2 linked regions of the Sus scrofa genome follow. The protein of the gene in region 2 interacts with the protein of the main gene of each other region in a pairwise test. Links are inferred from orthologs where the notes say so. Each region holds a gene or a part of one and is shown on either strand. Other genes may lie near its edges.

What was found. The genes of interacting proteins can lie anywhere in the genome.
Region 1: the proteins of LEMD3 (region 2) and SMAD1 interact in binary tests that used the Homo sapiens proteins (3 or more experiments, as listed by UniProt). The link is inferred for Sus scrofa from reciprocal best matches to the Homo sapiens genes LEMD3 and SMAD1.

What each region holds. Positions count from the first base shown.
Region 1 is NC_010450.4:82,921,873-82,925,521, forward strand, and holds part of SMAD1 (mothers against decapentaplegic homolog 1), read right to left. Parts: intron 1,345-3,649; coding exon 1,228-1,344; intron 1-1,227. UniProt on the Homo sapiens protein: Transcriptional modulator that plays a role in various cellular processes, including embryonic development, cell differentiation, and tissue homeostasis.
Region 2 is NC_010447.5:29,662,207-29,665,855, reverse strand, and holds part of LEMD3 (LEM domain containing 3), read right to left. Parts: coding exon 3,609-3,649; intron 2,944-3,608; coding exon 2,765-2,943; intron 1-2,764.

The DNA.
Region 1 (3,649 bases), on a different chromosome or scaffold from region 2:
GGCTCTTTGAGCTCATCAGTAACTTTTAAGAACTTAAAAAATATGAGCAACTCTGACAAAGTCTGAGCTATCTCCAGACCTTTACTAAAAAAGTGGTAAGAATGAGATAAGATCTACTTAGTTAAATTGCATGTTAACTTCAATTTGCATTAAATGAACCCAGACTGAAAGTCTCTGACACTGCAGAGTGCCCCAGGGAAGCACCTTCCTCCAGGGGAGGTTACCTGGGGACAGTTTCATTTAGCAGGTGGTCAAAGACTTCTCCCAGATGCTCAGGGATCCTCCCAGCACTTTAGCTACCTGGGCTTTCTGTCTGCTTAAGCCTGCTCAAGCTGCCCCTGCAGACCTGGCAGGATGCCAGTGGCCTCCCCTCAGGGATCTTGCGGACCCATCTTTCCCGAGAGGGAAAGAGATAAGCCCTTCACGGTGAGAACACAGAAAATACGTGCCTCTATGCCTTCTTGAAACAAGGCTAGAAACAAGTAAATAGAGCAAAGAACAATTTTTCGCTTGTTTCAGCCACAGCTGTACAGAGATGAGGACTAGAAAATGGATGGGGCTTAGGAGGAACTAAGGAACCTTTTGGAAAGCCTGGTTATACGAAGTTTTCAAGTGGGAAATCACCAGTGAAAACTCTACTTCTGTCTTTGCTCATTTTTTCTCTCAGTATCCCTTTGTCTTTCACTTAAAAAATATTCTTCTATCACCAATTCAAAGTTGTTAAGTATTGAAGCTCTAAACAGATGACTGTACAATTATATCTAGGCTTTCATTAGTTAAAGGCATGTGTCTGTTGTTCATATAAAGGCTTATTTGTAACCCACAGAATGATTCTCTCCATGGAGCTCCTCTTACTGTGCCTGTGTTTCTCAAATAGCTATCTTTTAAAAGACTAATTAAAAACTTATGAAAGTAACACATGGACAGATAAACTTGTTATTTTTGTCCTTTTAGGGATACACCCTCGGCATATGGAAGTTCTCAGGCTTGGGATCAAATCAGAGCTGCAACTGCCAGCCTACACCACAGCCACAGCAATGAGGGTTCTGAGCCCCTTCTGTGACCTACACCACAGCTCACGGCAACACCAGATCCTTAACCTGTTGAGTGCGAGGCCAGTGATTGAATCGTGTACTCATGGATACTAGTCGGGTTCATTATTCTTGAGCCACGACAGGAACTTCCCAGGTAAACTTAAAAAAGGGAGTAAGCAGCAACTCATCTTACCTCCTCTGTTGATTTCTGAGGGCAGTGCAGGTGCCATCATGTTTGTGTCCATGGGCTGGGAGCCATCCTGGGTCATGGGGTCCTCAGGAGGCAGGTAAGCAGGTGGGGGTGTATCAGCTACAAAGTTTGAAGAAAAAAAAAAAAAAAGATGTCTTTATCCACAGTAAACACACACTTAAAACATGTATTCTCTTCCGTGCTGAAATTCTTCAGCAACTAAGTTGCCATTTCAACCTCCCCATCAGAAGATTGGATGCTTCAGATGCTGGCTTTGGTGGACCCTTTGTGGGGATCACTACTATGTCATCATCTTACACAAACGCCCTGAAAATTCCATGGGAGGCAAACACTAGATGCCAGTTCCAGAAGCTCTCTGCCTCCCCAGGGCCGTGCCATTTTATAATGATCAGGAGAGCACTGACACTTTCACACAACCCACTTTGAAAGGACCTCTGCATTTCGTTGTTTCCCTGATGGATGGAAAAATCTCTGAAAGCTACACAGGATTTCTTAAGAAAAGGAGTTTCAGGGTCTCCTGCGTTAAATCTAGGGGCTCTTAGGAATTTACCAACTGAATTTCACTACTGCCAATTGACTCACTCAAACTGTTAATCCCCATGGCTTCAAGAAGCCTGCTAGCACTAACCTTCTCCCTACCCGCTTAGATTCTCACTGGTTTCAAGTTCCCAGTAGCGGAATAATAGGAAATAGAAGATCACAACTATCTTCTATTTCAGAATTTGCGTACATGTTTCTTTTGGAAAGCTCATAGCCAGCTAACAAATAAGAGGCCAACAATGTGCTTCTTTCTTTCCCTTCTTTCTTCCTTTCTCATTTCTTTCTTTCTTTTTCTTTCTTTCTTTTTTTTTTTTTTGGTCTTTTTAGGGCCACACCCGTGGCATGTGGAGGTTCCCAGGCTAGGCGTCTAATCAGAGCCACAGCTGTCGGCTATGCCACAGCCACAGCATCACCAGATCCAAGCCACGTCTTTGACCTACACCACAGCTCACAGCAACGACAGATCCTTAACCCACGAGTGAGGTCACGGATCAAACCCACAACCTCATGGTTCCTAGTCAGATTTGTTTCCGATGCACCACGATGGGAACTCCTCCTTTCTTCCTTCCTTCCGTCTTCCTTCCTTCTTCCTTCCTTCCTTCCTTCCTTCCTTCCTTCCTTCCTTTCCTTCTTTCTTTCCTCTCTCTCTCTTTCTTTTTCTTAATGGCTGCGCTCACAGCAGATGGAAGTTGCTGGGCTAGTGGGTGGAATCAGAGCTGCAGCTGCTGGTCTACACCACAGCCAAAGCAACATCAGATCCTTAACCCACTGAGCAAGGCCAGGGAATTGAACCTGAGTCTTCATGGATCTTAGTCGGGTTCTTTAACCGCAGAACCACAGCAGGAACTCCAACACTGAGATTTTTGAAACAGAACATGGGCACAAGTCTTGTGCTTTCTTAAATAAAATCAAGGGTGTGGCTTTCCCACAAACAAGCCTGTGTGATGGAAAAACGAGTTCCCCACGGGCTACAGTGAGCCCACTTAGGACCCCAGCACAGATGACAGCCAGAAACAAAGTATCAGGCCAAGGAAGCACCAAGAGCTTGGCTCTCAGGCCAACCATCGCATACTAAAAGCTAATGCTGCTCTTTTCAGTTTCTCAGCCATTTCCCAGACTGACTCTCACAGAGTCCCAGTTCCATGGTCCAGGTGCTAACAAGCCAGGCCTCAGGGCACAAAGGCAGACCATGGGGACCCCATCAGGATACCTTTTCTACCCTTTCTCCAGCTTTTTAACCAGCGTGCTTCCCTGCAGCTGCAACCCTGCCTCTGCTTTCCTTCCAGCCAGGCAGGGAGACAAAGAGCCTCCCTTGAGACCAAGTTCAACACGTTTCTGCAAACAAGCTGGTGAAAATTTCATCAACAGCCTACAGCATCAGCATCACTGGGAGGGGCTGGACACTGTGGGTGGGGCTCTGGTGTCCTCACGAGGCCCTCCTGGCACCCCTGCAGCTTTCTCCTTATTTCCGCTACTTGGCCTGGGCCCTAATCCCCGACAGCCGGGGAACAAAGTGTAAATTCTGGCAATAATCTTCAATTTGTTTCACTCTTGAGCCCACCCTGGGTCTGCCACTGCTCCAAACCTTCCAAAACCGTCTCCCTGCCACCAACCTGTTCATCAAACCCAACGGGTGCGGAAGGGAGTCGGGCAGAGGAAACCAGCAAATGATACTAGTTTGGTTTTTAAACTAATCTCTCTCCCATCTCGTCTTAAACAGTTTTCAGTTGAAAAAAATAAACAGAACAAGGCAAAATAAAGAGGCTTAAAATGTAAAACAGCAGTAAATAAATACATAAAAGATAGGAGGATTCCCTGTTGTGGCTCAGTGGGTTACAAACCCAGCTAATATCCATGAGGACAG
Region 2 (3,649 bases):
ACAGTAGTTAACAAATCCAACTAGTAACCATGAGGTTGCGGGTTTGATCCCTGGCCTTGCTCAGTAGGTTAAGGATCTGGCGTTGCCGGGAGCTGTGGTGTAGGTTCCAGACAAGGCTCGGATCCCACGTTGCTGTGGCTCTGGTGTAGGCCGGCGTCTATAGCTCCTATTAGACCCCTAGCCTGGGAACCTCCATATGCCATGGGACAAGACCATAGAAAAGGCAAAAAGACGACCCGGAAAAAAAAAAAAAAAAAAGGATAGGTAATGACTTAAGGGTACTTAGGAAGAGAGAGACTGAAAAGATAGATCATGGAAATGAAGATGAATAGGAAAAGAAGTAAAGATAGGAAGAAGGCTAAGGAACTGGAGAAAGGTGCACTGAAAAATCAGAGATTCTGGAGTTCTCAAATACATAAATCAGGAAAGTTGAAAAGATGAGTCTGTGATACAGAACAGAGCATATCAATTAAAGATTTCAGATGTACCAGTGACAGGAAACATCTGGGGTGTGAATGTCTGAACAGTGCTTGATATGGTGTGGAAGAATGATAATTAGACATGAAAAATCTTTGCCAAACCCCAGATCAAGATGGTGTGTGAACCTCTAATAGCTTCCAAATTTCTCTAGTAGCATGCAGGTTCTGTTCTTAGATGACCCATTAGCTTCAAATAATCTGACTTCCTTGAAATTCCAATAATGGCCTGGGCCAGCAGGGGAAGAACCAGAGAAAACAGAAGCATTCATACCACCTTATGCTAGCCTAAACCTGAGTTTCCACAAAATAACAGACCTGGGAGAAACTATTCCTGGCCAATTCTAGTCAGAAAGTAGTCCCAAAGTTCAAACTGATTTTTAAGATATAAGCTTTGTCTTCCTAACTAAACCCTAATTACCACTGCCATATAGAGGTACAGCAGTTACTAAATGATACATTTCAAATGCCTCAGGAACTACCTTTGGGTGCCTTAAGTGAATGCTGTTTATTCCAAACACTATATTGTCAGAAGCATTAAATAAGACTCTGGCTCCCTAGCAGGTATTAATTTTTAACTGGTGTTTTATAATAACTTTAAGAGATGGGAGTTCTCTTGTGGCACAGCATGTTAAGAATCTGGTGTTGTCACTGTAGCGTTTCAGGTTGTTGCTACTGCACAAGTTTGATCCCTGGCCCAGGAGCTTCCATATGCCATAGGTGTGGCCAAAAAATAAATAAATTAATTAAATAACTTGAGAGACACCAATGTTATATTATCACTCATTTCATATTTAATTATTTTTTAGAAATTGAACTAAATATTCGATAAGGTTGATTACTTAACAATTACTTGGGAAACATACTATTAAATGACAACAGTTTGTAGTGGTAGTGAATTCAAAAGACTACTATAATGACCATTCCTCCAGTCATGTACCTTTTAAACCACTGCATTTATAAGGAGAGAAACATTAAGCTTGTTAATAAGCTAAACTATCTTTTCACATAAAAACACCATCACTGACTAGTAGCCTGGAAACTTCCATAGTCTGTACCTGTGACCTCCCCACCCCCCAAAAAAACCCAAACAAACAGTAGATGCCCATTTTTATACAGCACAATATTTGTGCTCAGATATATTTAAATCAAACCAAACCTTTATGTACTATTATTTTTAAAAAGCTAGATCAGTCATTTAGTTACATTTAAATAAACTATATATATTTAATAGCATAAAAACAGATGTAATATTAAAATTGAATTCCTTCTGTAAGATACATAACTAGCATTAAGAAAATCCCAACAACTTCTCATTATCAGCCTCTTGTAATAATTCTTATTATGATGACATTCTTCAAAAAATTCAAATCTTCCTGCTATAAGTCTATAGACTTTCACTTTATCACTACCAACCATCTAAAAATTGAATTGGGATACTTCAAGCAAATAGCTACTAGGTGTTTTATCTCAGGATTTTCTGCCTTCAAGCTGAAATTATCTCAGTAATTACACTTTTTTTTATATTTGTAAAGTAGTAAGTGTCTTAATTTACTCTCCTTCCTTTCTAGGACCATGAACCCTTAATCAGTATAACTGTTTATCAAAGACTGTCAAGTAAACGGAGACTTAAATTTATAATTCTTTACATGGCCCATTTAGAAATATGCAAATTAAGGCAATTCAGTCCTTGACATAAAGTTTATGAACATCTAATACACTGAAACCTGGATGAAACACGAATATAGAAAGTAGCAGGACACTTTAAAAATACTTTATCAATTCATGTTGAATTTTTCTTTAATGAAGTATAGTTAATTTACAATGTTGTACCAGTTTCAAGTATACAGCAAAGTGATTTTATACATACATTTATGTGTGTGTCTGTGTGTACATATTTATTTATATAAATTCTTTTTCAGGTTCTTTTCCCTTATAGGTTTTTACAAAATACTGTGCTATAGAATAGATCCTCTGTTTATCTATTTTATATATAATAGTGCATATAGTTAATCCCAAACTCCTAATTTATCTCTCCCCATATCCCATTATCCCTTTTGGTATTCACAAGTTTTTCTACATCTGAATCTATTTTAGTTTTGTAAACAATTGTATCTTTTTTTAGATTCCACACATAAGTGATATGTTTGTCTTCATCTGACTTACTTAACACTGCTATCTTTTACGGGATGGAATTGGAAGGAAGCTTTCAGTTGTACTATTTTAAACACTTAAGACTTCTATAGTTGAAAAAATTACTTTTGTTGTTGTTGTTTAAAAATACATACCTTGACCCTGCCACACTTTAGAAGGTATTACTAATATTTTGTCACAGGATGCAGAAGGCTGGATCCACCGCCAAACCAGAAAATCTGTACCACCTATTCTTCGTGTCTCTGTGCGAACTCTAGACTCATTAGCAGCAAGGAAGTCAACAGCTCTATCCCAGACTTTCTTCATTTTTTTCCTATCATTTAAAGGAAAGTGACAAATTTACTATCACCTTGGCTTGTCATGCTCTTAAATAATAGTAATTAAAGGTAGTTGTTACTGTTACCTTTAGCTGTTCTTATCACTGCTTACAGAGTTTCTTTCAAAAAGACTTAGATGTCTAAACCTAACCTCAGATTTACTAAATTTGGATCTCCAAAGGTGGGACAATACACTGGAACTTTTTTCCCATAAAAGCTCCACTGGTGATTCTGATGTGTTTCTAGAATAAGAATGCTGCTTTGGGATGTGCCATTATCTTTTATTTTCAAGAAGTAATTGCTTAATTCTTCTATTTAAAAAAGCTTCATTAACAACAAAATGAAGTCTTTTAAACCATTATTAGTAAAACATCACTGCACTGATTATTGTCTGTTTATCAAGATGGAATTAAAGGAAATAAGGTAGAGATTGACAACAAAGAATCAAAAATACATACTTAGAAATCCTGCTATTATGCCACTCAAAATCAGGAAGATTATAGATAAAAATTTAGAAAAGAATTTAAAATACAAAAGTAAAGCCTGTCCAGTGAAAGGGATCTAGTTCAGAAGGGTCACAATTCTCAACAGAATTTTCATGACTGCAGAAGACACTGACATTCTGATTGATTGACTTCAACACATAACGCTTTAAACAGACCTGTCATGAGGCTGTATTAAGGAATCTCGCACATGGGGAAT